7 linked regions of the Callithrix jacchus genome follow. The protein of the gene in region 2 interacts with the protein of the main gene of each other region in a pairwise test. Links are inferred from orthologs where the notes say so. Each region holds a gene or a part of one and is shown on either strand. Other genes may lie near its edges. The genes, in order: keratin, type I cytoskeletal 19; CARD9; TASOR2; FAM161A; MFAP1; TCL1A; CWF19L2.

Evidence for each region.
Region 1: the proteins of CARD9 (region 2) and keratin, type I cytoskeletal 19 interact in binary tests that used the Homo sapiens proteins (3 or more experiments, as listed by UniProt). The two-hybrid records come from large-scale screens. The link is inferred for Callithrix jacchus from reciprocal best matches to the Homo sapiens genes CARD9 and KRT19.
Region 3: the proteins of CARD9 (region 2) and TASOR2 interact in binary tests that used the Homo sapiens proteins (3 or more experiments, as listed by UniProt). The two-hybrid records come from large-scale screens. The link is inferred for Callithrix jacchus from reciprocal best matches to the Homo sapiens genes CARD9 and TASOR2.
Region 4: the proteins of CARD9 (region 2) and FAM161A interact in binary tests that used the Homo sapiens proteins (3 or more experiments, as listed by UniProt). The two-hybrid records come from large-scale screens. The link is inferred for Callithrix jacchus from reciprocal best matches to the Homo sapiens genes CARD9 and FAM161A.
Region 5: the proteins of CARD9 (region 2) and MFAP1 interact in binary tests that used the Homo sapiens proteins (3 or more experiments, as listed by UniProt). The two-hybrid records come from large-scale screens. The link is inferred for Callithrix jacchus from reciprocal best matches to the Homo sapiens genes CARD9 and MFAP1.
Region 6: the proteins of CARD9 (region 2) and TCL1A interact in binary tests that used the Homo sapiens proteins (3 or more experiments, as listed by UniProt). The two-hybrid records come from large-scale screens. The link is inferred for Callithrix jacchus from reciprocal best matches to the Homo sapiens genes CARD9 and TCL1A.
Region 7: the proteins of CARD9 (region 2) and CWF19L2 interact in binary tests that used the Homo sapiens proteins (3 or more experiments, as listed by UniProt). The two-hybrid records come from large-scale screens. The link is inferred for Callithrix jacchus from reciprocal best matches to the Homo sapiens genes CARD9 and CWF19L2.

What each region holds. Positions count from the first base shown.
Region 1 is NC_133506.1:91,731,871-91,735,256, forward strand, and holds the end of keratin, type I cytoskeletal 19, read left to right. Parts: intron 1-1,021; coding exon 1,022-1,104; intron 1,105-1,295; coding exon 1,296-1,452; intron 1,453-1,751; coding exon 1,752-1,913; intron 1,914-2,042; coding exon 2,043-2,168; intron 2,169-2,306; coding exon 2,307-2,561; 3' UTR 2,562-2,690; downstream 2,691-3,386. UniProt on the Homo sapiens protein: Involved in the organization of myofibers. Together with KRT8, helps to link the contractile apparatus to dystrophin at the costameres of striated muscle.
Region 2 is NC_133502.1:184,843,884-184,848,861, reverse strand, and holds the start of CARD9 (caspase recruitment domain-containing protein 9), read left to right. Parts: upstream 1-1,780; 5' UTR 1,781-1,928; coding exon 1,929-2,277; exon of another isoform or gene 2,278-2,430; coding exon of another isoform or gene 2,431-2,713; coding exon 2,714-2,851; intron 2,852-3,023; coding exon 3,024-3,883; intron 3,884-4,290; coding exon 4,291-4,416; intron 4,417-4,978. UniProt on the Homo sapiens protein: Adapter protein that plays a key role in innate immune response against fungi by forming signaling complexes downstream of C-type lectin receptors.
Region 3 is NC_133508.1:8,021,654-8,024,907, reverse strand, and holds part of TASOR2 (protein TASOR 2), read left to right. Parts: intron 1-257; exon of another isoform or gene 258-447; intron 448-2,292; coding exon 2,293-2,474; intron 2,475-3,254.
Region 4 is NC_133515.1:52,274,106-52,278,835, forward strand, and holds the start of FAM161A (protein FAM161A), read left to right. Parts: upstream 1-1,737; 5' UTR 1,738-1,837; coding exon 1,838-2,020; intron 2,021-4,730. UniProt on the Homo sapiens protein: Involved in ciliogenesis.
Region 5 is NC_133509.1:31,469,715-31,473,952, reverse strand, and holds the end of MFAP1 (microfibrillar-associated protein 1), read left to right. Parts: intron 1-1,642; coding exon 1,643-1,802; intron 1,803-3,284; coding exon 3,285-3,374; intron 3,375-3,462; coding exon 3,463-3,645; 3' UTR 3,646-4,161; downstream 4,162-4,238. UniProt on the Homo sapiens protein: Involved in pre-mRNA splicing as a component of the spliceosome.
Region 6 is NC_133509.1:130,524,791-130,529,801, reverse strand, and holds TCL1A (T-cell leukemia/lymphoma protein 1A), read left to right. Parts: upstream 1-2,064; 5' UTR 2,065-2,128; coding exon 2,129-2,272; intron 2,273-4,113; coding exon 4,114-4,266; intron 4,267-4,681; coding exon 4,682-4,729; 3' UTR 4,730-4,844; downstream 4,845-5,011. UniProt on the Homo sapiens protein: Enhances the phosphorylation and activation of AKT1, AKT2 and AKT3. Promotes nuclear translocation of AKT1. Enhances cell proliferation, stabilizes mitochondrial membrane potential and promotes cell survival.
Region 7 is NC_133511.1:7,260,409-7,264,646, reverse strand, and holds part of CWF19L2 (CWF19-like protein 2), read left to right. Parts: intron 1-1,013; coding exon 1,014-1,136; intron 1,137-4,238.

The sequences.
Region 1 (3,386 bases), on a different chromosome or scaffold from region 2:
GGGGAAATCCCCTCTGATATTTTATAGCCTGTTACGTTGCCTTAAAAGCTGTACAATCAGCCAGGCGCAGTGGCTCATGACTGTAATCATAGCATTTTGAGAGGCTGAGGCAGGTGGATTGTCTGAGCTCAGGAGTTTGAGACTAGCCTGGGCAATACGGTGAAACCCTACTCTACTAAAATACAAAAAAAAGTAGCTGGGCGTGGTGGCATGCACCTGTAGTCCCAGCTACCTGGGAGGCTGAAGGAGAATTGCTTGAACCCAGTGGGCAGAAGTTGCAGTGAGCCAAGATCACGCCACTGCACTCCAACTTGTGCAACACAGTGAAACTTTGTCTCCAAAAAAGACCAAAAAACCAACAGTCACCACCTGATGCATTGACTAGTGAGTGATGACCTGCTTTTTGAAAAACAACCCAGTTACCATAATCAATGATAAGGTGGCAGTTGTGAATGCACCCCTCAGGTCAGAAAGACCTCAGGTTGGGGTGAACTCGGATGAGGCATCACCCTAAACTTTAGTTTCTACCTCTGTAAGATTGGAGTAGCCAGTGACCTAGCAGTGAGGAACCAGAGGCTATCAAAGATGAGATTCAAAGTGCCTGGCACATAATAGACACTCAACAAATGGGCTTCTTTCCCTGGAGGCAAAATGTGTTTTGGGTAGTGGGTGGCTACAGACAAAAGTATAGATAAAATCTCCCCGGGTCTGGTTTATAGACCCCCTTCAGGCCATTTAGAGTTTCATTGCACACAGGTCTCAGAGGTTTCCTCCCTTGCCTTCCTGGCCTCCTCCGCCCGTGCCTCCCTGGCTCCAGTGTTTCCTCCTGCCCCAGCTCCTGGGCTTGGACTGTTTTCAAGGCCTCCCAGAGAGTGGGCCAGTGGGCGGCAGATGTTGGCTAGGGCTTTGGTGTCTAGAGAGCAGGGGCATATTCATTTGCTTCCCTTTCTCTTCTGAGAAGAAAGTGAGTGGGCAGCACCTGTGTGCTGCACTGGTGCCAACCTCTGCCTCTGCCTTCCAGATTCTTGGTGCCACCATTGAGAACTCCAGGATTGTCCTGCAGATTGACAATGCCCGTCTGGCTGCAGATGACTTCCGAACCAAGTGAGTGTCTCTGCCCTGGTGGCTACAGAAGCCAGGATCAGGGTTGGGGCTGGGGGGTTTGGAATCTGCCCTCACCTAGCCTAGCTGGCCTGAAGCTAAGCCCCCTGCGGACTCCTGAACTCTGGGGAGGTAGGGAAGTCTTCAGAGATGCAGAGAAAACTCTGCCTGGCTGCAACTATTTTTTCTGAAAGGTTTGAGACGGAGCAGGCTTTGCGCATGAGCGTGGAGGCCGACATCAACGGCCTGCGCAGAGTGCTGGATGAGCTGACCCTGGCCAGGACTGACCTGGAAATGCAGATTGAAGGGCTGAAGGAAGAGCTGGCCTACCTGAAGAAGAACCATGAGGAGGTGGGTTTCAAGCTGGGCCTTTCTTCCATGCTTCCCTGACCTCCCAGGGCTGAAAACTTTTATTCTGTATCCTCTGACCATGGTAACACTTGGTGTACCCTCACCATGGCCCTGGGTGTGGGTCATGGATCCCAGAGTTCTAAAAGGGATCAGTGAGGACCTAGTCTGTCCCCCAGTGCTAGTTACTAGGTCTGCACCTGAAAACTAAGCCCCTTTGGCCTGGAGGGTGGGGGAGTGACCTGGGCCAGTTCCAGAGGGGGCTGGGTCCTGACATGCTCATGTCTGCTGTATCTTTTCAGGAACTCAGTGTGCTGAGGGGCCAAGTGGGAGGCCAGGTTAGTGTGGAGGTGGATTCAGCTCCAGGCACCGATCTCGCCAAGATCCTGAGTGACATGCGAAGCCAATATGAGGTCATGGCCGAGCAGAACCGGAAGGATGCTGAAGCCTGGTTCACCAGCCGGGTACGCAGAGGGAAGCAGGCACGCTTTGGGGGTTGGCAAGGAGAGAGGGCTCGGTGCTCCCTACGCGAAGTTTGGCCTTGAGTATTATTCCCTCTTCCTTCTCTTATTCCCTCTTCCTCCTCTCTGCAGAGTGAAGAACTGAACCGGGAGGTCGCTGTCCACAGAGAGCAGCTCCAGATGAGCAACACCGAGGTCAGTGACCTGCGGCGCACCCTCCAGGGTCTTGAGATTGAGCTGCAGTCACAGCTGAGCATGGTACGTATCCCCTGGTTCCCTGTGCCATGCACACTTCTGTCCTTGCAGCAGCCTAGGGCAGCCTGGCCGGTGGCTATGCCCACGTCCTCTCTGGGAACCAGGCTCTGCCGAGTCTTACTCCCCTCTCCCCACCCTCAGAAAGCTGGCTTGGAAAGCACACTGGCAGAAACGGAGGCGCGCTTTGGAGCCCAGCTGGCGGAGATCCAGGCACGGATCAGCGGTATTGAAGCCCAGCTGGGCGATGTGCGGGCTGATAGTGAGCGGCAGAATCAGGAGTACCATCGGCTCTTGGACGTCAAGTCGCGGCTGGAGCAGGAGATTGCCACCTACCGCAGCCTGCTGGAGGGCCAGGAAGATCGCTACAACAACCTGTCTGCCTCCAAGGTCCTCTGAGAAGGCAGCGGGCCCGGGGCTTCTGTTGTCCTTTGGAGGGTGTCTCCTGGGTGAGGAGATGGGAAGGAAGGGACCCTTATCCCCAGGCACGTCCCTTGACCTGCCAATAAAATTTTATGGTTCAAGGGAGGAAGGATGTTTGGTTTGTTATTTCAGCCCATGGAGAGGTGCGTCAGGCCCTGGCCCTGTGTAGGTTTTATTTGAACCAAAGTTCACTCTGTCCCAGGAAAGGGAGGGGAGGATACACACATACCTTGACTGTAATGGTAATTCCTGTTTGCGGAAGTCTTCATTTATTTAACCTGGCCCTTAAAATAACCTTGTGAAATAAGTGTTGCTTCCGTTTTACAGAGGTAAACTAAGGCTCAGGGAGCGAAGTGGTTTGTTCCACATGTAACTGCTCTAATGTATGGCAAAGGTGGGATTTGAAATTGTTTTTGCTTCCAGATTTAGTTTTCTTTCTACTCTACTCCCTGGGGGTTGAGGTATCTGAGCGAAATTAATATGTATTGAACACCTAATATGTGCCATTGAATCAAAAACAGGCCTAAAAGATAGGTAGTATGAGCTGCATCTTACAGCTCAAGAAGCAGGCTGAGAGAGGTTAAGTAACTTGTCCAAGGCCACTCAGCAACTGCATGGCAGAGCCAGGACTAGAACCTAAGTTGCCTGATTCTTAGCCCATCGTGCCATCCCCAGCCAGGTGGTCTCCTGGAGTTGACGCTGCTTGTGCCTGTCTTGCTGACACTCCAGTCTTGCTCCATATGAAGGCTCAGGCCGGCTATCCCTAGGGACAGTTCCTTCTGACACATTTCTCCATCTTAC
Region 2 (4,978 bases):
CAGGCTGCAGTGGCCTCCTGGGGGTCATTAGGTGGGCTGCAGCCCTTTTGTGGCCAAGGTGAGTTCTGGTCATGCTGTGTGGCTGTGTGCTCCCCTGCACGTGCCCTGAGGGCATGGCCATATCAGCTGGCCCAGCCCTGCCCCACTGTCCCGAGATGCTGGTGAGGGCGAGGGTGTTTGCATACAGCATGCCCAACTGAAGAAGCCTCCAGAAGTCTGTGACCAGGTCAGAGCAACTGGGTGTGGGCCGACCTTGTCGGGCCCTCTAGGAGCCTCTGCTTTCTCTTTTACTTGCCAGGCGCCAGGGCTAGGCCTCTAAGGCAGCCCCAGGACCCCTGGCCACCAGACAGGCTGGGAGTGCTGGGAGCAGCTTCCCTGGAGGGCAGAGGACTTCCACTTCCTTCTGCCCCACCTCTTGGGGCCTCCTGGGCTGGGCGAATCAGAAGGCAAGCCACCAGGGACTGTCCCCCTGTGGGAGGACTGGCGGGACTGTGGAGTTAACCAGAAGCCATCAGGAAGTGCCCAGGCATCCCAGCGTGCTCCTCTTCCCTGCAGTCACGGGTAGCATCTCCCAGAGGCTCTGCAGCCCAGACTCCTGGTTTGTCTTCGGTCAGGTGGGTCCTGGACCCTCAGGTGGGTAGGTCTGGTGCTTTTCTGAAAGGTGGCCAGGAAGGTTGGTGTCAGTCTCATTCAGGATCCTGGCGCTGATGCCCCAGAGCAGCATGAGGCTTTCCACAGGGAGCCGGGCAGCCTCCATGTGCGGCCCCATCCGTTTCACGGCCACTGTGTACATTTCAGTGGCATTACCAGCCGAGGCAGGTGGGACTCTGGATTCAGGCTGGAGAGGCAAGGCAGGGGCCCAGTGTTCCCAGGACTGTCTGCCGTGTGGGTGGTGCTTCTATTTAGTCCCTTGTCTGTTTGTCAAAATTGGCCTGAATGGGAAGACAAAGCACGGCAGGAAGTTGAGAAAATCCTCACAAGACTAAGCCTGGGGCAACTGTCTCCAGGAGAGGTGACCCAGCTCCTTTGGGCTGGAAACCAGCTTTCCCAGCGGGGCTGGAGGCTGTCTGAGGAGCAGGGTCTTGCGTGGGAGGCAGGACCATGTGGGTGCTCCCCGCCTTGGCCCAGTCACAGTCCCGGAGGGAGTGGCTTTCAGTGGCGGAGGCTTCTACCATGCTGGCAGAAAGGGACAGCAGTGGCTGGTCCCAACATGGGTAGTTCTTTTGTTGCAGTGAGCGAGATGGTCCTGGAGGGGGTGGCTGGGGGGCAGAAGAGTCCAGGAATTCACTGGTGCCCAGCACCTAGGAACCTGGAGAAAATGCCACAGCAGCACTCCTGGCTGGCCAGGGCAACACTGACAGCCCCTCCCAGGGTTGTGGGGCCAGGGAGTGGGGGGGTGACAGAGACACACTCCTGTGGGCAGCTCTACCTGGCTGGTACAGTGACCCTGGCAGCTGTGGCAGGGCTGGGCGGCAACTCTTGCATCATCAGCAGCCGGCCATGGAGGAGGGAGGGCACAGCCCGGGATGTGAGCGGGTGTCGGTCAGGGGAATGAGGAAGTCCCAGAAGGACCAGCTCCCCCAGCTGCTGTGCTGGTGGGAGGGTCACAGGCCAACCTGCTCTCACCCAGCTTGGCCTGGCCAGAGTGCCAGGCAGGTGCTCACACCACTCCACCCATGGAGGTGGCTGTCCTTGCAGGCTCCAGGGCTCCAAGGTGAATTGGGAGTGTCCAGGATGCAGAGGCCAGAGTGGGGGTCATGCTGAAGGGGGGGTTCCTCTCTCGGACCCATCTGTGCCTCCCTGGGTGCATATCTGGGTGACAGGATGGCCAAGGGGCAGCAGCAGGGGCTAGGAAAGGCTGTGGAGGGACCTGAAGGGGAAGGTGTCACTGTGTCTCTGCTGCCTCCCTGGGGGATCTGGCTGTGGGAATGGGCACCTCTCCTAGACGCCCCTGGGCTGATCCCCTTGACAGCCCTGACAAGAGCCCTGGCCCAGCATCTGAGAAGGGAGTGGGAGCAGGGCCTGGGTGGGGGCAGGAGGCCGTGTCACGCTCAGTGGCTGCCCCAACTCTCCTCAGCCTGCCTGCTGGGGCCATGTCGGACTACGAGAACGATGATGAGTGCTGGAGTGCCCTGGAGGGCTTCCGGGTGACGCTCACCTCGGTCATCGACCCCTCACGCATCACACCCTACCTGCGGCAGTGCAAGGTCCTGAATCCCGATGATGAGGAACAGGTGCTCAGTGACCCCAACCTGGTCATCCGCAAACGGAAAGTAGGTCAGTGCTGTCCCACAGGCTCCTGGCCCCAAACCCAACCAAGGAGCCAGCTCGGAGGTGGCTGCAGGCTCTGCGACCCTGACCCTCAACTCCAGAGGAACCCCACCCAGCTTTGCCCCTGGCCACCCAGTGAGGCCCAAACTCAACCCTGACATGTGGCCGCCCCACCCCCCAGCCCTCTCTTGCTGGCTCGGTGCTGCCAAGAGGGGTCATGGGGCTCCCACCACAGCAGGGACTCCTGAGACAGCCAAGGGGTGGGTGGGCAGCACTGCCCCCAGCCTAGCACCTAGACCCTCAGGGTGCCTCTTCCACGATCCAGACAGCAGCACACCTCCTCTGCGTCCCAGCCTCCACCTCTCCCCGCCCCCGGGCCCACCCATCCCAGCCCTCTGCCCCGCCAGCACCCCGCCCCTTTTTCGGCCTCTCTGGCCTGCAGGTGTTCTCCTGGATATCCTGCAGCGGACAGGCCACAAGGGCTATGTGGCCTTCCTCGAGAGCTTAGAGCTCTACTACCCGCAACTGTACAAGAAGGTCACGGGCAAGGAGCCAGCCCGAGTTTTCTCCATGATCATCGGTGAGTGACGGGGAAGGCAGGGCCAGCAGGGAAGGCGGGGCTGGGCAGTGGTGCTCGGTCAACCGACAGGCCCACATGCTTAGGAGCCCTGAGCTCCTGCCACAGCGCGAGGCGTGATGGAGCTGGACTGCCAGGGAACAAGGGCCCTGTCTGACACTGGCCCGGTCCACAGATGCGTCCGGGGAGTCAGGCCTGACACAGCTGCTGATGACTGAGGTCATGAAGCTGCAGAAGAAGGTGCAGGACCTGACTGCGCTGCTGAGCTCCAAGGACGACTTCATCAAGGAGCTGCGGGTGAAGGACAGCCTGCTACGCAAGCACCAGGAGCGTGTGCAGAGGCTCAAGGAGGAGTGCGAGGCCGGCAGCCGTGAGCTCAAGCGCTGCAAGGAGGAGAACTATGACCTGGCCATGCGCCTGGCGCGCCAGAGCGAGGAGAAGGGCGCTGCGCTCATGCGGAACCGCGACCTGCAGCTGGAGGTGCGCCTGCTGCCCCAGGGAACCAGGGTGGCCCCCCTCGCCTGGCCTGGTGGGGTCTGCGGGTCGGGGGCAGCCCCGTGGGTCGGCTGTCAGCACCTGGAGTGGATGGCTGGGCTCACCCGGCCTTCTGCAGATCGACCGGCTCAAGCACAGCCTCATGAAGGCCGAGGACGATTGCAAGGTGGAACGCAAGCACACACTGAAGCTCAGGCACGCCATGGAGCAGCGGCCCAGCCAGGAGCTGCTGTGGGAGCTACAGCAGGAGAAGGCCCTGCTGCAGGCCCGGGTGCAGGAGCTGGAGGCCTCGGTTCAGGTGTGGCTGCGGGCAGGGCGGGCACAGGTGGGGCGGGTGCAGCCTGGCAGGGTGGCATGGGCCTTCCCAGCTGGGCCATTGCTTTTTGCCCCCTTCAGGAGGGAAAGCTGGACAGGAGCAGCCCCTACATCCAGGTGCTGGAAGAGGACTGGAGGCAGGCGCTGCGGGACCACCAGGAGCAGGCCAGCACCATCTTCTCCCTGCGCAAGGACCTCCGCCAGGGCGAGGCCCGTCACGCCCGGGTACGAGCGCAGGCGAGGACATGTGGCCCCTGGGGGCCATGCTAGGCTAGGTGGGCTGAGCTCCGCCCACTCTGTCTGGAAGGTGGGGTGCGGGGACCCCAGTGCAGCATCTCCACTCACCCACTCCTGGAGGCACAGTGGATGGTGATCACTCCTTGCTCACCTGCACCCCATGGCAAAGGCCATGGGCTCCTTGTAGCTGGGCACGGCAGTGCCTGAGGCCTGGGGAGAGCCCTGCGCTGCTGTGGTCTGGAAGGGCGGGGTAATAGGGGCCTGGGGGCTCCTATGGCCTCCCCCAACATCCCGACTGACCTGACCCATGTTCCTGAGCTCCTAGCTGGAGCACCCCCCAACTGGTCAGAATGGGGAGCCTCAGGCCTTGGGGGCTGAGCTGCTACCCCCTGCAGTTCGTGGAGGAGAAGGAGATGTTGGAGCTGCAGTGTCGGGCCCTGCGCAAGGACTGCAAGGTGTACAAGGACCGCATCGAGGCCATCCTGTTGCAGATGGAGGAGGTCGCTGTCGAGCGGGACCAGGTGGGTGCTCACGGTGGGGGCTGGGGAACAGAGTGCCCCATTCGAGGTGGGTGCACCAGGGCCACAGGCCTTGAGGGCAGTTGTCAGAGGGTTTTTAATCTTTATTTTGTTATTTTTGAGATGGGGTCTCGCTATGTCACCCAGGCTGGCCTCAAACTACTGGCCTCAAGCAAATCCTCTGGCCTCAGCTTCCCAAAGCGCTGGGATTGCAGGTTAAGCCAACACACTGACCTGTTTTTTAAGTAACAGAAGGAATATCTAACACTAAAAAAAAAGTAAACTGATGAAGTCAATACTCCCTCATCCCAGCCTGCTGTCAGGGGAAACTTCTACCATCCCGCTCCATCTTAACAGATATTCCCCTCCCCTCCCCCCCTTCCCCTCCCTGCCATCTTCTTCCTTCCTTTCTCTTTCTTTTTTCTTTTCTGCTTTCTTTTTTTTTTTCTTTTTTGAGCCAGAGTTTCGCTCTTGTCACCCAGGCTGGAGTGCAATGGCGCAATCTTGGCTCGCCGCAACCTCTGCCTTCTGGGTTCAGGCAATTCTCCTGCCTCAGCCTCCTGAG
Region 3 (3,254 bases), on a different chromosome or scaffold from region 2:
CACACAATGTCCATATTGTTCTATTTAAGCCCTATTACTACAAACTGAAAAAATATTTATAAGTTACCACTATTTTGAGGAGAATGGAAAAATTAAGACCATAATCTGTCCTTAATTCAATTGTACCCTAAAAGAGGAGGCTGATAAATAGCCACACTTCCCTAAATCTAAAGCTTTAATTTGTAAAAGAAAAAAAATGTGTTTGATTTCTTGGCTGAAGAGAGCTGGGGCTGAGAGGTTCCTCCACATGCTCACAGGCAGGACCAGTTGGAAAAGCAGACCTGACAAGCCCTTGTGAAATGAGGATTTCAGGCACTGACAGGTGCTTTCCATCTGTTATGATGCTTTACACTCAGACTTCAGCCCTAGGAGGCGGGTAGCAAGCCCTTACTCTGATGATGCGGAATTGAGGCACCGAGTGGGCAACAACACGACCAAGTCAAACAAGTAAGTTTCAAGCTGGGTTTCAGTCCCAGAATGACAGAACCACTGCTAGCTGCGCATGACTTGAAGGAAAGAAGCTCCCATGCACAGAGTTTCGGAAAGGTTTTCTCTTGGAAGTAGAACTAACAAAAGAGAGAAAGAGCACAGGTTTCCTTGGCAGGAAAGGAGGGTGCAAAGGCTTCAGCAGGTCAAGGGTATGACCAGTTCACAGAGGACTTCAATAACTAGCACTGTAGGGGAAAATGTCAATGTAGTAAATAGAGAAGCATATTTAAGGCTCTGATGTACCACAGCACACCTATAAAATTAATCAGCATAAATTAATCTAGCACTTCCAGGGCTTTAAAGTCACATGTCACTTAAGGATGGGGATACAGCCTGAGAAATGTCATTAGTCAGTCTTGTCTGTGTGCAAACAGAGTGTACTTAACACAAACTTACATGGTAGAGCCTGCTCCTAGGCTGCAACCCTGTACGTCTAAATACTGTAGGCAGTTAATGCAGTGTTAAGTATTTGTATGTCTAAACACAGAAAAGGTACAGTAAAAACACAGTATTATAATTTTATGAGACCACCATCTCATATGTCTCATAATGGCCTGGCATTATGTGGTGTGTGGCCATACTCACTGCTGTTGGCACTGTAATATGCTCTTCGAATTACACCACTCTGGCATTATCATTATGCATTAATGAAAACTCTTCATATCCTTTGATCTTTTGTGGAATTTACCCAGAATTCTAGGTGATTATCAGTAATTGCAGAAACCACCTCACTTCCATCTTTAGGAGGAAGATATGGAGATATGTGGATACAAACTAGTGTCACCCAAACCTTACACAACAAATAGAAACATATAAAAAGCTTCTATTCATAGAAATAAGGATAGCATAAAAGTTGGTATCACATAGTTATGTTCAGTATGATGTTAATCATATAAAAAATGTATATAGGAAAAAGTGAAAGGAAATTCATTCATCATGATGTAAGAGTGATTATTACTAGGGTTATGGGAATGGGTGATTTGAGTTTTCTCCAACAAGCATAAGAATGTAAGCGATGAGGACTAGGGAGATGGAGTCAAGAGCAGAGACAGATGCTAAATATTTAAACGTACCAAGTTAACACATTCTCCTACTGATAGGGTTTTTTCAGGGAGGCAAGAAAACAAGAAAATTCTGACTACTACTTAATTTCAATGAAGTTGGTGATTATCTGTCCACAAGGCATGAGGAGCAGAGTTGCATTGCTCTGCAAGTACACAATGCAGTAAGGCCCACTAGAAATTCATGGGAGGCTTGCCAAGCCACATGGCTTGATTGATTGGTCATAGGTAGATGCGTAATGTCCCTCTTAGAATGAGGTCCATGATGAAAATCCACATTTACAAAAGGAGTAGGTACAGTTTTGATGTTTTGAGACAACCAAAGTGTGTCATGAAAAAACATCAGGCTGGGTGTGGTGGCTCAAGTCTGTAATCGCTGCATTTTGGGAGGCTGAGGCAGACAGATCATGAGGGAGTTCGAGACCAAACTGGCCAATGTGGTGAAACTCCGTCTCTACTGAAAATACAAAAATTAGCTGGGCATGGTAGCACGTGACTGTAGTCCCAGCTACTTGGGAGGCTGAGGCAGAAGAATCGTTTGAACCCCAGAGGTGGAGGTTGCAGCGAGCCAAGATCATGCCAGTGACTCCAGCCTGGGCAACAGAGCAAGATTCCATCTTTAAAGAGGCAAACAAGAAAGGCAGAGGATCTCAAGTTTGAATGGTTAGACCGAAGGCAAGAAAAAGTCCTAAGAATAAAACAACTGAAAATTAACATTTTAATATTCCTGTGTATCTTTCAGAGTGGATTCCACTGCACATAAAAAGAACATAATATTGAAGTCATTTCAGAGTGCAAATATCATTGAATTGCTTCATTATCACCACTGTGACTCTCGATCATCAACAAAAGCGGAAGTTCTGAAATGTTTGCTAAACCTGCAAATTCAGCATATCAATGCCAGGTTTGCTGTCTTCCTGACAGGTAAGTCACAGGCTCATTTTACTCAGTTAATGCCAAAATTGGTCAGCTCTAGGGATGTCCATTTAGATACCTGATACTATTCATCAGATATCTAAATGGCTTGGTTTCCCATGGATACCAGAGTCACTCAACTCTGATGCTGAAGACCTTATATAAAATGTAGTATTTTGCAGATAACTACACAATCATCCTATATATGTAAATCAGCTCTAGATTACTTATAATACTCACAGTATAGTTGTACCATATGTTTTTGTTTTTTAATTAATACTGGGGCCAGGTGCAATGGCTCATGCCTGTAATCCCAGCCCTTTGGGAGGCCAAGGTGAGCAGATCACTTGAGGCTAGCATGGTGAAAACCCCATCTCTACTAAAAATACAAAAACTAGCCAGGCTTGGTGGTTCATGCCTGTAGTCCCAGCTACTTGGGAAGCTGAGGCAAGAGAATGGCTTGAACCCCAGAGGCAGAGGTTGCTTTTAAAAAATTTATGGGGCAGCCAGGCACGGTGGCTCACATCTGTAATACCAGCACTTTGGGAGACTGAGGCAGGTGGATCACTGAGCCTAGGAATTCAAGGCTAGCCTGGGCAACTTAGCAAGCCCCCATCTCTACAAAACATTTAAAAATTAGCAGGTGTGGTGATGTGTGCCCATAGTCCCAGCTACTCATTAAGGCAAAAGGATAGCTTGAGCCTGGGCCGTAAAGGTGGAGGCTGCAGTGAGCCATCATCACACCATTGCACTGTTGCCTGGGTGACAGAACAAGACCCTATTTCAAAA
Region 4 (4,730 bases), on a different chromosome or scaffold from region 2:
TTTTAGTAGAGATGGGATTTCTCTATGTTGGTCAGGCTGGTCTCGAACTCCCAACCTCAAGTGATCGGCTTGGGTGTGATCTTGGCTCACAACCTCTGCCTCCCAAATTCAAGCGATTCTCCTGCCTCAGTCTCCCAAGTAGCTGAGATTACAGGTGCCTGCCACCATGCCTGGCTAATTCTTGTATTTTTAGTAAAGACAAGGATTTCACCACGTTGGCCAGGCTGGTCTCGAACACCCAACCTTAGGTGATCCACTAGCCTCAGACTCCCAAAATGCTGGGATTACAGGCATGAGCCACCGCGCCTGGCCTGTGCTTTGATCTATGTTATTATTTATGTTATTAGATATCTGCAATTTTAGAATACTACTGGTGAACTGAAACTTTCCTGCTTTTCTATATACACACACGTTTTCCACACTCACTAATTCCTATTATTTTAGTGTTTTATTTTATTCTAATTTTCCATTCGCAGTGCTTCAGCATGTGAACCTGCCTTGCTGTTTTGGGGTCTGGCTTACACCTAATCCCAAGACAGGCAAGTGCAGCCACAAAACTGGCTGCCATAACTGACTGGAAATTGCTCTCCTGGACACTTGGCCACACATGGCGGTCCATATCTCATGGTTCTGGCTTCTGCTTAGAACCCAGCCAGCATCTGTTTCAGCATGGGAAACAAATGTTCAGCCAAAACAAAGACTAGCCTGAAGAAAGTGTGGACGTGGGAGACGTTGCAGGTGCTCACATCCAGACAGGAGAACAAAGAAGGTTTGGTAAAGGGCTCAGACCTTTAGGTTCTCGACGACGTGCAACACATAACGAGGAAAATACTGACCACAGGTGGCTCCGGTGGCCGGTTGTAGCGCTGGGGAGCGGGAGGAGAGTAAAGAACAGGGAGAGGGTAGCGAGAGAGCGGCAGCCTCGGCCTCGGTAAGCAGGGGCTTAGGGAACAGTTATCTGAGACTGCACCACTCTGCTATTTTGAGGTTTGGCTTTTTGCCACGTGGTGCAGAGGGAAGGCGCCATTTGATGCGCCCAAATCCCTAGTGGGAAGAGAAATAGGGATGAGGGAGATGGGTGTGTCTGTGGTGACTCTTGGGCACTCGCGCCATTCAATCCTGTCACTCTCAAGCTGACAAACCCAAAGCAAACGCCAGGTTTACACTACCTGCACTGACACTAGTGGGAAGGTCAGGCGCCACTCAACTCTGGGCTTTTATTGGTCAGGTCAAGAAAAACGCGAAAGGGACAACTGGGAGCCTTTTTCTGATTGGTGGATTCCTGCTAGCCCTGAAGTCAATCAGAGTAGAATGTACCTTCCTCCTTTCCACTCTCTGGCTCCCGGGGGAGCCATGTTAGGTACTGGGACGCCACGCTTGCCACTCTTCTGAGAATGTCACCCAGTAACACGCCCTGCTTTCCTCCTCCTCCGCCGTCTCTTCTATCAACCGTCTCCTTCTAACATGTTATTGCAGTTAATAAAAAAGCGCTCGTTTCTTCACAAAAGCAGTTGTTTCGTTGTATAATGTGAGAAGTCTGCGTTTAGGCGGTTAGACGCAAAGCAGTGGAATAAATGCTCTGTTCAGCCTGCCAACGTTCGGAACCAGTAAACAGACTGGGAACTAGGTGCCACGATCCAGTGAGCGCCCGACTCGGGTCTCTAGCAGCCTGCGGGGTTTTTGCGTGACTTTTGGTCCCTCGCGGCTCCTGTAGCGTTCCCAGCTACGGCGCCCCTAGCAACCGCCCTCCTTAGCAAGGAGCCGCAGGGTCGCCTGGGCCTGCGCCTGCTTTCCCGCCCCGGGCCAGCGCAGGCGCTCAGGCCTCGGAGGCGGGGTGATGGCCGCCTCCCACCAAGCGGCGAAACTGGCGGCCTCCAGTCTCCAGGTCCCGGTCAATCCCATTACTGGGGCGCGGGTCGCCCAGTACGAACGCGAAGATCCCTTACAGGCCCTGACGGCAGCGACAGCGATCTCGGAGGACGAAGAGGAGGAGAAAGTGGCGCAGCCCGCGGGGGCGTCGGTAATGCAGGGGCGGGACATGGACTGGGACCTCGCGTGGGCTGGGGTCAGGCTGAGGGCTGTCTGGGTCCCCGCCCAGCTGAGGGTAGGCTGGTACGAGGCCCTGTGCACATACTCCCTAGTCGGTGGTCCTGGCCAATCTGCTTCTTTACGCTCACAAAAAATACTCTAAATCGAGGCGTTCAAAAGTGTTTTAATTTTCAACAAAGAGTTTGTTGTAAAATTTTCGACCAAAGAGTTTGTTGTAAAAATTTCCTAGACAACATTTATGTTACTCTATTTCTGGCGAGTGCAAAGTACAGAATTTTACTCTCTACTCTCCAGCATCTCAGGAATGGATATTTCTTTCCGCTCCCCCCCCCCTTTTTTTTTGTAATTTGAGGAAAACTGTTCTATCAGGTATATTTCGTCATTCACCTTAAGATCCTGGTTATAAGTGGATCTCAACACAATGCTCTAGAGATGCGTGTTTAAAACCATCACGAGTTCACTAGCTAGATCAGACAGATACAGATAAGCATTCGGAAAAGCAAATCACTGAGGTTTCAGTGTTTCCTAAACGGCTCTTCAGGGTCAGACAGACTTTTCACTGATTAGTTTTCAATGTTAAATCTGTTGTGGACACCAGTCCAACAGGTGGAGGGCAGGGTCTGCCATCTGCTGTATTCACTTAAAAGATGGAATCTTGAATTTGGCTAGCAATCTGCAGATAGAAAAAGTTTCTTAATACCATGTGTCCAAAGCTTCTCAGACACAAAACTTAAGATTGAGGATTAATTGAAATCACTGGGTTTTTTGGAATTTTAATCTCTTTTATCTACAGTAAAATTGTTAAATGAGAAAATCTTTAGCAACATCTTTTATGGTCAGTGTTTCACCAACAGACAAACTACTTGAAGTTACCTAGAGTAAGGCAGATTAGACCCTGAACATGAACCAGGCTCAGAGAGCTAAGGCCAGTTTTGTTCATGGTAAAGCTACCCCTCAACACAATTTTCAGTAGGCAACATTATGGAGAAAAAGGATTTTTTTTTTTTTTTGAAATGGAGTCTTGCTCTGTTGCCCAGGCTGGAGTGCGGTGGTGTGATCTCGGCTCACTGCAGCCTCGCCTCCCAGGTTCAAGCAGTTCTCTTGCCTCAGCCTCCTGAGTAACTGGAACTACAGGTGCACGACACCATACCTGGCTAATTTTTTGTATTTTTTTTTTTTTTTTTTTAGTAGAGACGGGGTTTTACCATTTGCCCAGGCTGGTCTTGAACTCCTAAGCTTAAGCAATCCACCCACCTCAGCCTCCCCAAATACTGGGGTTACAGGCATGAGCCGCTGCGCCCGGCTGAGAAAAAGGATTTAAGAGTTCTTATTAGGATCCATTCTCTGCTGCTTGCTAGGTGATGTTAGGACATAACTTCCTTAAATCTCAGTTTCCTTATCTGTAAAAGATCTATAATAATTGTCTCTTTCCCATCTCAGCTGTTATGAGAACCAAATGAAAGAATGTGTGTCTCCTCTAAAAAGCAATCTATATAAACGAGTAATAATTATGACAGTTGCCAGTGGGAATGTCATTTGTGTGCCTTCCCAAAGATTAAACTCTACTTTGGCTTGCTGTGATAAAGGAGTCTGTCATTTCTAAGCTGCAAATATACTTCCACAGTGCCCTGTTAATTACCTTAGGACAGATCAGTTTATATAGTAATCTAGTATGGAAAGGACAGAATCCTACAAAAAACAAAACGAAGCCAAGTCTTTTTGTTTTGAGTTCGAGTCTTGCTTCTTTATCCAGGCTAGAGTATAATGGCACGATCTTGGCTCACTGCAACCTCTGCCTCCCGGGTTCAAGCAACTCTCCTGCTTCATCCTCACCAATAGCTGGGATTACAGGCACCTGCCTTGTGCTAATTTTTGTATTTTTAGTAGAGATGGGGTTTCATCATGTTGGCCAGGCTGATCTCTGAACTCCTGACCAAGTGATCGACTTGCCTCGGTCTCCCAAAGTGCTGGGATCACAGGTATGAGCCACCTCACCCAGCCTGGGAAGCCAAGTCTTAACAGTTTGTTACTGTTCTGAGACAATTTTTAGTAGAGACATCCCACATAAGAGATCCAAAAGTAAAGGTGGGTCAGCTGCCACAGTGGACCTGATAGCCATGGGGCACAGGGATGGGGAAAGAGGCACTAAAAAGGCAGGAAGAGTGCAGGAAATAGGCTTTACTTTCTTCACTGGTTGGCTTGGGTCTCCGTCTTGATTTTTAAAGGTTAATTTGCCTTAACCTTATTATCTATGAAATGTAGTAAAGTCAAATATTATACCTACCCCACAAGATAGATTTGAGAACCACCCATCACAATAGGCCTCTTTCAGCTCTTTGGTTTTGCCAAAACCAGACCACCCATCCCACCCTCCCTTCACCCCCCCCAACCCCTGCACCATCCCCATGTACGCTCCCCCTCTGGCATACACACACACACACACACACACACACACACCCCTTGCAGTGCCCATATTGGGCACTGATGCCTGTTCCTTGAATCTGGCCTTAGTCAGAGATGTTAGTCCACATATCCTGTTATATTGCTGATGATGATACAGGTAAAGCAATGCTATGTAATTTGCAATTAAAATCTCACTCCTGGCCAGGCATGGTGCCTCATGCCTGTAATCCCAGCACTTTGGGAGGCTGAGGCAGGTGGATCATCTGAGGTCAGGAGTT
Region 5 (4,238 bases), on a different chromosome or scaffold from region 2:
ATCATTTCTGAGCTGCATCACCCATTCCTGTAAATTACTAGGTATGAGATGATAATCCCAGATTATAAAGGGAAACAATCAATAGATAACTCAAGGCTGGGCGCAGTGATTCATACCTGTTATCCCAGCACTTTGGGAAGCTGAGGTGGGCAGATCACTTAAGGCTAGGAGTTAGAGAGCAGCCTGGCCAACATGACAAAACACCATCTATACTATAATGTGAAAATTAGCCATCTTGGTTGTGTGTGCCTGTTAGTCCCAGATACTCAGGGGCTGAGGCAGGAGAATCACTTGAACCCAGGAGTCAAAGGTAACAGTGAACTGATATCATACCACTGCACTCCAGCCTGAGTTGGAGTGAGACTGTCTGAAAAAACAACCAAAATTTGCCTGAATATGAGCCATATAAGCTACACATAATAGATAAAACTCCATCCTCATCCCGTAGTTTTGTTTTTGAGACCGTCTTACTCTCACTCAGTCTGGAATACAGTGGTGTGATCTCGGCTTACTACAACCTCCACCCCCTGGGAGTCAAGTAATTCTGCTTCAGCTTCCAGAGTAGCTGGGACTACAGGCATGTGCCACCACGCCTGGCTAATTTTTTAATTTTTAGTAGAGACTGGGTTTCACCGTTTTGGCCAGGCAGGCCTCGAACTCCTCACCTCAGGTAATCCACCCGCCTTGGCCTCCCAAAGTGCTGGGATTACAGGCATGACCATCATGCCCAGCCCTCAGTCTGTAGTTTCTAAGGTTCTTATCCTGGACTTGAACGAGTAGGAGTCCAAGTGCCCTTTTAAATTGTACACAAGGCTGGGCATGGTGGCTCATATCTGTAATCCCAACACTTTGGGAGGCCAAGGGTCAGGAGTTTGAGACCATCCTGACCAACATGGTGAAACCCCATCTTTACTAAAAATAAGAAAATTAGCCAGGCATAGTAGCATACACCTGTAATCCCAGCTACTAAGGAGGCTGAGGCAGGAGAATCGCTTGGACCTGGGAGGTGGAGGTTGTAGTGAGCCAAGATTGTGCCACTGCACTCCAGCCTCAGTGACAGAACAAAACTGCATCTCAAAAAAAAAAACAAAACAAAAAAAAAAACTGTACACAAAATTATGTGTATATATGCTTTTTTTTTTTTTTTTTTTTTTTGGAAAAAGGGGATATCACCCCCTCTCTCCCTAATAGTGGCTAAAAAGTTACTGCAATCTAATTAATAACAGTAATCTTTGGTTTATGACATGCAAGCACCTATATGATTCTGATACACTTACATAAAGGAATATCACCGAAGTCCTGGACAGTTATTTTAAATTCACTGATTTTTTTTAAAGCTAAGAATACTTTTTAGGGAAAGAGAATTTGTAATGTTGCAAAATGAAGCAGTAATAATAGTATGTCTGAACCTCAAAATGGCTAGAATCAACTTTTGGAAGTGGACAATACCTAGTCTGGCAAAAATAATGAAGACCAACTTACCCTTTTGTTTATTGAGCTCCTGATCTTGATTCCTAATAGGCAGCGACTAGAATTAAAGAGGGTGAATAATATTTGGAATGACATGGGACTGTTATTTTCAGATAATTTGGTCTTTCTGAAGCTGTAACAGTACCAATAAATTGTTTTGCTCCCTGGACAGGCTTGAGAAGGAGAAAGCAGAAATTGAACGCATGCGAAACCTGACTGAGGAAGAGAGAAGAGCTGAGCTTCGGGCAAATGGCAAAGTTATTACCAACAAAGCTGTTAAGGGCAAATATAAGTTCTTACAGAAGTATTATCACAGGGGTGCCTTCTTCATGGTAAGAAGTGAGAAGAGAGTCCAAAAATTGGGCAGTAGGAATAACTCAGATACTGAATTATTTTTTCTCCTCAAGAATGTTATTTTCACTTGCCAGTGGTCAGCTTTCTCATTTGCTGTTTCCCTCTGAAGAATATAAACTCAGAGAAAAGCATCATCAGTAATTGGATTATAGAAGTGTAATCAACTCTCTTTTGGCCCCAGCTCTCAAAAAGAGGAAATGATGTAATAGACATATATTTTTTTTTTTACGAGACAAAGTCTTGCTGTCACCCAGGCTGGGATACAGTGATATGATTATAGTTCACTGCAACCTTGACCTCCTGGGCTCAAACTATGCACCTGCTTTAGCCTCCAGAGTAGCTGAGACTATAGGCATGCACCACCATGCCTGGCTAATTTTTCTTTTTGCTAATTGCTAGTTTTTCAATTTTTTGCAGAGACCAGGTCTCACTATATGTTGCCCAGGCTGATCTTGACCTTTGGGCCTCAAGCAATCCTCCCACCACAACCTCCCAAAGTACTAGGATTACAGGCATGCGCCATCATCCCCAGCCTTAGATAAACTGAGGAAATGAAATGGAGAAGTGATCTATATAGATAGTGGACTAATTAGGTCCTCCAAATCACATAGTTGTTATTATTTCATACCTGAATAAGAAGTTTTGGGTATGTGAAAACCAAACTGCAAATAGCTTTACATTAATTCACATTTGGGTGGTAAAAGGTTCACTTCATTCTGAACTGACAAAGTACCTAAGCATAACTAACCAAAAGAATGGTTTATTATCTAACCATTAGGTGGAGTGCCATCTTTGTTCTTCACGTAAAGTCTAAAGTCAAAATACCAATCTGCTAACCCTGTATGGTTTATGATTTTGTCATGTTAAAGCAGTTTGTATCAAAAACTAGACGAGCTTTTTCAACTGTTTAGCAAATTCTAAATATCCCCACCGCAACTAAATTCCTGCCCTTCACTTTAGATGTGAGTTTAAAGTCCCAATAAAATATCCAGCTTATATAAAAGGCAGTAGAAAATCCAGGATTGGAGATTGGAGAGGCCTGTGCAGAGCTGAAGTCACATGAGTAAATGAACACATTGAGTGCAGAGAGAATAAGCCAACCTTTGAGTCATGTCTATATTCAAGGAGAAAATCAGGCATAGTTGCGTGCACCTGTAGTCCCAGCTACTCAGGAGGCTGAAGTAAGAGCATCACCTGATCCTGGGCGGTCAAGGCTGCAGTGAGCAGTGATCACACCACTGCACTCCAGCCTGGACATCAGAATGAGACCCCCCCCCGTCTCAGGGAAAAAAAATTAAAGATAATACAACAAAGGAAAAAGAATCTCTTCAACTAGATGTAAGCTCTTGAAGAAAGACTCAATACCCTCTGCTTTCTTTGTATCCTTCATTGTAAAGTATGTTTGTGGTTTGAATATATAGGAAATAAAGCCACTAGACTGATAAGATTCTTCTCTACAGGATGAGGATGAAGAAGTATACAAGAGAGATTTCAGCGCTCCTACCCTGGAGGATCATTTCAACAAGACCATTCTTCCTAAAGTCATGCAGGTATGGGGAACCTTAATAACATGAAAAAGTAATGTATTGACAGATGAGGTATGGTTTGATGGTGTAACCATCCTACATCTTCCCTCAGGTCAAGAACTTTGGACGCTCAGGTCGCACCAAATATACTCACCTTGTGGATCAAGATACCACTTCCTTCGACTCAGCTTGGGGCCAAGAGAGTGCCCAGAACACAAAGTTCTTCAAACAAAAGGCAGCTGGGGTACGAGATGTATTTGAACGGCCATCTGCCAAGAAGCGGAAAACTACCTAGGGTAGTTTTGCTTATTCTTCCAACTGTGGAACACGAGGGGAAGTCTCAGCATATGGTCCTTGATTTGCTTTTTCATTATTTCCTTGGCCCCTGTATCCAGCTATTGGACCTACCTTTTATAATTCTGATACTGGGTAGCCCAGACTTGGAAGGTGCTTTGCGAGGTTTGGACTCATGCTGAGAAACCCACAAGGAAAGCACTGTCCAGGTAGAATTAGAAGCTTCCTGCTTAAAACTATTTCTGAGAAATCTTAGGTTTTATCACTGCTATGGTTTCCCATATTTACTTGGGACTGTTCTGAGTTTTTTTCCAGCCCTTAGCTTGGGTTAGAAAAGTGGGCATGTAAGTGAACAATGCATTACTTCTACCTTAGGTTTAGGAGTAATATACCAGGAAATCTAAGCTCATAGAAATATGTTTTCCATTTTTGCTTGGGGTCCATTTTTCTACGGGTACATACTTTTTGATCCATGTATGTGTGCATGTCAAGAAATAAAAGAATCATCCACCAAGGAGATTTTTAGCATGATACTGGAAATGATGTCCAGGCTGACAAGCATTAATTACCTATTAAAGTAAAAGGTAACAGAAT
Region 6 (5,011 bases), on a different chromosome or scaffold from region 2:
TCTCTACTAAAAATACAAAAAATTAGCTGGGCATGGTGGTGCGCGCCTGTAATCCCAGCTACTCAGGAGGCTGAGGCAGGAGAATTGCCTGAACCCAGGAGGCGGAGGTTGCGGTGAGCCGAGATCGCGCCATTGCACTCCAGTCTGGGTAACAAGAGCGAAACTCCGTCTCAAAAGAAAAAAAAAAGACTCAGAAAGGAAACAATTTGAAAGCTAGGCTGATGGCCTTTATAGCCCTTCAACAGGGCAGATAACATGCCACAGAAGCTGAGAGATCTCTGAGACTATGCAGTAGCGACTGCTTCCCCTCTTGTGGAACGTTCATGAAAAAAAGCTCAAGGGCTCTATAAGTTGCCCAGTGAACTCCACAGTCATTTTATTTCATTTTCGTTTCTTGGAACCCTTTCTCAGATAATTTTTAAAATCCCACACAATAATGATATATATTCTTGCTCAATATTAAGAAGCCCTCATGCAAAATTGAAGAGTTTTTACAAAAGAAGGAAAAAGGAATTCTATTCCCAGAACATTCTGCTTTCCCAGACACAACGATCTGATTCTTGCTCCATTGTTTGTAGCCTTCTGGGTCCTAGAGCCACTGATGGGGCTGGGTCAGTGGCCACATTGGCTCCTGGGGACCCCTTCCCTGGCCAAAGTCCATCTTAGCAGCACTATTTTAACTGGACTTGTTATTTCTTACCTCAAAGCTGTGGCCTGGGATGAGACCTCCCCAACAGAGCTTGTGACGTTTTCATCTTGCTCTGTAGCTATCTGGGTCTGAAGTCAAGAGCCATTCACAGGAAAATCAGTCTGAAACCAGTAAGTTTGCATATTAAATATTAACAGCACTAAGGGCTACAGTGGAAAAAAGGTTTGCTGGGCTCAAGGACCCTCACTCCACCCCTAACTTCCCTCTGCTTTTCTCTTCTATTTTTGTGTTCCTGGTAAATTCCCTTATATCTCAGCTATCTTAGGCCACCTCAGCCCCTTCTTGGGAATTAGGTTGTCTGGACAGGCAAAGAGGCAGATACCCGGCTGCCAGGTGAATCAGGTGTCCTCATCAGGTCTCTTCATATCCACTTTTGTGACATTTCAAAGAATCACAAATTATTTTATTAATGCCTAGCCAGAGAGATGGGAAAGAGCTAGAAGGAGGCACCGAACTCCATCCCGTGGTGATGTTTGAATCAGGCTAGAGCTGGTTTCACCTGTTTCTCATGCTTACTTTCTTAATTGCCTCAGTGGGAATGCGTTACTGCAAAATAAAGCGAATTGTTTTCCTTAGTGCTTCTAATTTACAGAGAGATGGTTTTGATCATATAAACCAGGTACTTTTCAAATCCACTGATCTTAGGGTGGAAGGAGGGGTTTAAGTATTCATTTTGAACTATGCTTTCACTAGCAAATTCAAAGCCCAAAGGGAAACACCCATGTTTCTCCACCACATTTTGTAATACCTATTAGATGTCCACAGCATCACCGAGCCATAGAAAACGCATGCTTTGTGTATGGAAGACGAAGGGGGAGAGTCAAGAGTTGCACTTTGCCAAGAAATGTACTCTGACGCTTAAAGGCCCAGGCTGGGAGCGATCCAGCGAAGCTTGGAAAGCCCAGGCCTAGCTCAGGCCCGCGTGGGTCTCTTCTGCTCCCAGAAAATGTGGAAGGGGTCCCGGCTCTGGGCATCCTGGTGTCGACTGTGAGTTCCCAGCAGAGGCCCAGACTCCGGGGTCCCGCAGCGAAGGGAGCGGCGGGGCCTCCCAGAAGAAGAAGGGGCTACCGTCACCCCAGGTGCCTCTCTAGCAGCGGAGAACGGCGGTCGGGGTCGCCGCGGGCCTGCTGGGCCCAGGTCTGCGTTCCCAGGCGCTGCCAGCGTTCCAGGGAGCAAGTCAGGCTGCGTGGGACCCTCACTTGCCACCACGACCCCCACGAGCCCCGCCCCATCCTGCCTTACGCCCTGCGCCAAGGTCGTCGTCCCGCCCCAGAGCCCCGCCCCAAGGCCGTCCTCCCGCCCCGCCGCTGGGTGGCGACCGCAAGCTGCCTTGCTATAAAGCGTGGCCCCATCGCCCAGGGACCAGCGAGCTACCTGGAGAGACTCTGGCTCTTGCTTTTTAGAGAATCCGAGGGAGCCATGGCCCAGGAGCAGTTACGCAGGGAGTCAGTCACCGACCACCCGGACCGCCTGTGGATCTGGGAGAAGTTCGTGTATTTGGATGAGAACCAGCGCACCTGGCTGCCCTTAGTCATCAAGGTACAGCCCGCTTTGGAGCGGATGGTGAGGCAGCAGGGGCAGCCCCAGGAGCTTGGGAGGCCCCAGGACGGGCGAGGCCTAGAGGAGCACCCACTTTGGGGCAGGGAGGCTCCCCACAGATGAAGCCACTTTGAGCCGGGTTCTGGGCTTTTGAACAGGAGTTCACCAGGCCGCGAAGAAGGGTGGGAAAACCACAAAGGAATGTCGACCAAAGGATGGGACCTGTGAGTGTGACTATAATGTTGACTACAGCAGGACGTTTCTGGGCTTCGGGGTCCTAATCCTTAAAATGGGTATTTCTAAAGTAAGTGACTCATTCATATGGCCAATCATCGGAATCATCTTAGGCGGGTCCCAGAAATCTGTATTTTATAAAGAACTTTCAACAGCTTAGGGTCATAGCAACCACTGCGCTGGAGTGTGAGGTATTTCCTATTTCCTCTGTGCTTTATTAAGAAGAACAAATTTAGGCCGGGCGCGGTGGCTCACGTCTGTAATCCCAGCACTTTGGGAGGCCGAGGCGGGTGGATCACGAGGTCCAGAGATCGATAGCACCCTGGTCAACATGGTGAAACCTTGTCTCTACTAAAAATACAAAAAAATTAGCTGGGCATGGTGGCACGCGCCTGTAATCCCAGCTACTCAGGAGGCTGAGGCAGGAGAATTGCCTGAACCCAGGAGACGGAGGTTGCGGTGAGCCGGGATCGCGCCATTGCACTCCAGCCTGGGTAACAAGAGTGAAACTCCGTCTCAATTAAAAAAAAAAAAAGAAAAGAACAAATTTAACGAGTCTAAGCACCAGTATTGAATCAGTATTGGCTTTGTTTCATATGTGATACCTTAAAATGCGTCTTTAGGTCATGTTACGTTTTTATTAGAGAACTATAACTCTTTTACAAGTATTTGGATTTACTCAATGAAATAGTCAAAAATATTCAAACTCTTTCCAAACATACACTGCAGAAAGTATACAAATTTAAAAATATATTAGAACATGTATGTAATACAATAGCAAACAAGAGTTATTGAGTGTTGACTGTGTCTCTACAGATGGGAAACTGAAGCACAAAAATATACATGTGCCCAAGGTAGGACTGCTAGTAGGTAACGGGGCTGGAATTCGAGGCTCTTCAACCACCAAAATTTGCACTTCTATTGGCATTTAAATTTTTTTAATATACATTTTTCTTTAAAAATCATGTCAAATGTTTACTTAAGTCAAAATTTGAAAAAATAATTTAAAGATTCAGTGAATTTCTTTTTTACAATGTCTGGTTGAGAAATCTCTTCTTCAACGTGACACCAAAATCACAAACTAGACAGTTTTTCACATAATCATGATAAATGGCACACAAAAAGTAACCCACTAGCAAACTGTGGGGCAGGGTTTGCCTCACACATTTGAAAAAGCCAGTATTCTTTTTCTCTTTTTTTTCTTTCGTCTTTTTTTTTTTTTTCTTTTTTTTGTAGAGACGGGATCTTGCTCTGTCACCCAGGCTAGTCTCAAACTCCTGGCCTCAAGTGATCCTCCTACCTCAGCCTTCCAAAGCACTGGGATTACAAGTGTGAGTCACTGCAACTCGCCAGAAAAAAGTGTGCCTTTCATGGCCCTTTCTAGGTGGCTAGACACGTGTGCATGCTGGTGGTCCTGGCCCAGCCAGAGTCCCTGTGAGGATCATGCATGGCTAAGGAAGTGAGGTTCAGGGGACAGTGATGACCAGCATTTCACACTCAGACCCCTCCCCAGCTGGGTGGGTGGCTGGCAGGAAGGACTCTGGTTTTCTGTGTCTGGAGGAGCCCTGGCAAGCGGATCCTGAAGGTGTGCCCTGTCCTTTTCTTCTTCTCAGAAGGAGGATAAATTACAGGTGTTCTTTCGTCAGGAAGTCACCCTCCTGGGGAAGCCTATGACCCCCACCCAGATAGGCCCAAGCCTGCTGCCTCTCATGTGGCAGCTCTACCCTGACGGACGATACCGATCCTCAGACTCCGGTTTCTGGCGCATAGTGTACCACGTCAAGGCAAGTGTGTTTCTCCCAGGGATCTATGGGGCGATCTTGGGTTTCCCCTCCTCAGTGCCTGGCCTCAGTGGTTTATCTTCCCTCCATCCCAGTGCCAAAAGCATTAAAAAATGGGGGAAATGTACAACTGTGGATTTCTAAAAGACTTTACCACAGAGAAGATAGCTCCTCTGAGGTCTCTAACAGAACCCTCCCTCTATTCCCTGCCAACCCCCAGCCTGGCCGCAGGAAGCCCCCTTTGGTGGGCAGTCACAGGCTGAAGGCTACAGGGAGGAGGGCAGTCTCCAAGAGCCCCTGAAATCCTCACACTCGGGTTCCCACCTGTTATTCCCAGCTAGGGGAAGGCACAGGAGTGAGAAATGGAGGGAGAGAAGGGCTCCGGCTGATCAGTGCCCTCTCTCTCTCTGCCTCTCAGATTGAAGGCCTGGAGGACATGCTTCTCGAGCAGCTGCCAGATGACTGAGTGTGGCATGGTGAGTTCCACTGGGACCTGACCCCTCTTAGTCCACAGTGGCTGTATCAGAAGGAAAGAGCACCCCTTCTCCGTGAGGGCAGTGCTAACCCCTCCCCGACTATTGCCTTCTGAGGGTCCTGGGATGGGAGAGGCTTCCTGGAGGCACTCATGTCTCTCCCTTACCACTGGGATCCAGGAGCTTCGCAGATGCATATGGCCACCTTAGCGCAGCTGCATGCATCTGTACAGGGCTTCACAAGTTGCGGCCAGCACTTTGTCAGTCGCTTTCTT
Region 7 (4,238 bases), on a different chromosome or scaffold from region 2:
ATGGTTTGATCAATGTATACATTACAGAAAGATTCAGTCAAGCTAATGAACATATCTGTCAACTCACCAACTTATTTTTTTGTCATGAGAACATTAAAAGTTTATTCTTCAATGGTTTCGAAATAGACAATACATTATTGTTAACTACGGTCATCAGTAATATATCACTAAAACTTATTTCTAGTGTCATGCAAACTTTGTACCTTTTCATCAACATCTTCCCTTTCCCTATCCCTGGTCCTTCCCCTAGGCTTTTCCTGTAATTTTAGTTTGTGCTATCTTCTTATATTTTTTATGGCCTAATAATCTTGTATAAATTTCTGGGGGGACCATAGAAGGATATTATATGTCTTTGTGTTTATGTGTGTATATGTATGCATATGTATACATGTTTGTGTATATATGTGTTTATTGATTATATTTGTCACATTAATATCCAAATATAGCCAAAATTTTCCCAGTATTTTTCTGGTAAGAAGTCTCAGTTATGGCCGGGCGCAGTAGCTCAAGCCTGTAATCCCAGCACTTTGGTAGGATGAGGCAGGTGGATCACGAGGTCAAGAGATCAAGACCATCCTGGTCAACATGGTGAAACCCCGTCTCTACTAATAATACAAAAAATTAGCTGGGCATGGTGGCGCGTGCCTGTAATCCCAGCTACTCATGAGGCTGAGGCAGGAGGAGAATTGCCTGAACCCAGGAGGCGGAGGTTGTGGTGAGCCGAGATCGTGCCATTGCACTCCAGCCTGGGTAACAAAAGCGAAACTCCGTCTCAAAAAAAAAGTTCTCAGTTAAAAGAAGTCTCAGTTATATAATTTATTAATATTGCATATATTGTAGCAGGTGTTTTAAGGTTTCCTGAAAGATTTTATTTATTTAGACATATTCTTTGTCTTATTTCATCAAAGATTGAAAGTTTTTTAGAATGTGGATTTTGTTTTTTCTCTCAAAATACATCCTTTTAAATTAAGATGAAGATAAATTCTTTTCTTGCCTGTTCAAAATGATTGCAGGAACACTCTGTGAAGAAAAAGAAGAAAAAAGACAAGCATTCAAAAAAAGCAAAGAAAGAGAAGAAGAAAAAGAGCAAGAAACAGAAATATGAAAAAAACAATGAGTCATCTGAAAGCTCATCAGTAAGTATGTACGAAAATTAATCAAAGTTTGAATGCATGACTTATGGGAACTTAAAATACAAGAGAACTTAAAAAAGGTGTTACTAGTTAGGATATGAAAATATCTGGGAGACATCTACTGGAGATGTCCAGGAAATACTGGAAATGTTGATCTTGAGTTTCAGAGAAGGGTTAAGAGGATAGGGATATGATTTGGGAATTATTGCCAAGCACAGCATTGGCTCTTGCCTAAGGCCTGCTATAATGACTACCTGGCTACAGCCTGTGTTCACTCAAGGCCCTGGGGCTCTGCAGTCAGCAGGTGGTGAAGCCAGCTAGGCCTGTGTCTTTCCCTTCAGGGTGGCAAGTTCCCCCAGGCTCGAGGTGGGTCCAGAGGTGCCATCAGGGACCCAGGTACTATCATCAAAAACCCTAGAAGTCTACCTGGTGTTCTGTTGAACTGTGGCTGAACTGGCACTCAACCTATGAATGGCAGTCTTTCCCACTCTTCCCTCCCCTTCCCACAGGCAGAAGGGCCTCACCCTGTAGCCATCACCATAGACCCACAGGGAGTACTGCCAGGCTACCACCAATGTTCCCTTAAGGCCCAAGAGCTCTTCAGTCAGCTTATGGTGAATGCTACTTGGCCTGAAACTCACTCTTCAGGGCAGTGAGCCCCGCTCTGGTCCAGGGCAGATCCAGAAATGCCATCCAAGTTCCAAGGCCTGCAGTTGGGGACCCCAAGATCCCTCTTGGTGTTCTGCCACCCTGTGGCTGAGCTGGTACCTAAGATGTAAGACAAAGTCCCATTTAGTTTTTTCAGTCAGAAGGAGGCCCTCCCAATAGCCACCAGAGCTGGGAGTTTGCTGAGTCTCACCTGAATCCAGCAAGTCTCAGATTCACAGTGAAGGCTCACAGTGTAGTGCCTGGGCACTGCTGGTGGTTATTCAGGGCCCAAGGGCTTTTTATTGGATACCAGCTATGGCTGAGTTGGTATCCAAGACGCAAGAGGAAGTCCTCTATTTGCTGTTCTCTCTCCATTTGCTCTTCTCTCTCCTCTCAAGTAGGAGGATGGGGTCTCTTTTGGAGCTGCACATTGTGCAGCCTGGGGTTGGGGGAGGGGTGGTGCAAGCACTCCTTTAGCCAACTCAGTGGCCCCACCACCACCCATCCATTGTCTCTGAGGCCAGTTCAGCACTAGGAGTCACTGAGGAATTGCAAGTTTTTGTGGCTTAGACTGCCTGTCAAGTTTATTGAGAGCTCCAGAGCCCTTTAGTCTGAGGCGGCAAGGCTTGCTGGAGCTTAAGTTCTGACTGCTGGGATAGACGAGTCCTCTCTGGCTAGGGCTGGTTTAAATACTCCCTCCATAGGTGGCCGTCGGCTGAGTTTAGCTCGGTTTTGCTTTCTGCTGTGACAGGGCACTACTGAGCTCAATGCGGTGTCTTGTAGTCGCTGTGCTCTCCCTCTCCAAAGTGTACAGATTCTCTGTGCTGCGTGGCTGCTGCTGGGGGATGGGGCAGGGATGGTGTCAGCCATTTAAGACTGTCTGCTCCCCTCCTCAGTGTCTCTTTCAGTGATATGAAGTTAAAACTAGGTCGTGTGAGTGCTCACCTGATTTTTGGCTCTTATGAAGGTGCTTTTTGAGTATGTAGATAGTTGTTAAGTTGGTATTCTTGCAGGGAGTAGGGGAGGATGATGGATTGAGGCTTCTACTGGCCATCTTGCTCTTTCTTCCTGGGAGGGTCTTTTTGAGAAATTACTTTTAGGGAAGGAGAGAGAAATAGTATTGAGGAGAATAATAAATTTGGTGTAGCAAGGTCCTGGGGGAAAGGGTAGCTTTGGAGCTACACGTTTTTACCACTTCCCTCCTAGCTCAGAAGAGAGGGTACAGGAGTAGGAGCAGCCTCTCTTCTGAATGAGGAGGGAAGTGGTAAAAATGTACCAATATAAATAAATGAGGAGGTGTGGTATGGAGTTTCTGCTTGTCCTCCTTCCTTTATGAAGTAGAAGGTAAAATGACTGACGAGATAATATGAGAGTAAAAGTAGGACAGAGGGATTGAGGAAATAGTATAGATTTGAAACAGCTTTGCTTAGGTAATAAAAGAAGCAAAAAAAATGTGCTGAGCAGCACTGGGGATACATGTGAGGCTGCAAAGCATATCTTGGCTTTGTCAAGGTCACTTTAATTTTTTCTTTTAACTTTTAAAGTCAACTTGACTGAGGTTCAATTTATGTAAGTACAGTGCTCCTTTTTTCAGTGTACTGTTTGATAAATATGGCTGTTTAACCATGTCAGTTGAGATACAGAGTATTTCCGCTATCCCATAACGTTCTTCATGGCCTCTTCTAGTCAGCCCCTGTCTCCCTGTCTCCTCCTCCACTTTGCTTTGAACAACCGAATATCTCCTTTGCACACTGTAGGTTTTTCTGTTCTAGATTTGTATGTTAGTTGGTTCATGTAACATAATCTTTGTTGTACCTGGCTTCTTGGACCCCACATAGTGTTTTTGTGACTTATTCCTGCTATTGAATGTATCAGGAGATACTTTCTTTTTATTGCTGTATCCAGTGTGTGAATATACCACAATTTGCTTTTCTTTTTATCTGTTAAAGTCATTTGAGTTATTTTTAGTTAGGGGGTGTTAGGCCTAGTGCTACGGGGAACACTTGTATACACTTGTGGATATACATGTTTCTTGTTTCTGGGAGGAAAAATGCCATTGTTTTCCAAAGTGGTTGGGCATTTTCCACTCATACAAAGTGTATGAGTTCCAGTCACTCCTCATCCTTGCTAGTGCTTGGTATTGTCAGTCTTAGTAGTTTTTAGCTGTTCTGCTGTGTAATACCTCATGTGGTGCTTCCCCGAAGGACAAGGATGTAGAGCATCATTTTAAGTCTCTATAGGACATCCTATGTCTTCCTTTGTAAAATCCAATTTATTAAATATTTTCTTTTTAGTTTTCATCATTTTTTCTTAGTGCTTCTGGTATACTAATTTTTGCACACCTCAAGATTGCGATTTCTCCTATGTTTAGTGTTTTTATTAATTCTTTTTAAAGAGATAGGTACGGTCTCCCTGTGTTGCACAGACTGGAGTGCAGTGGCACCATGCTAGCTCACT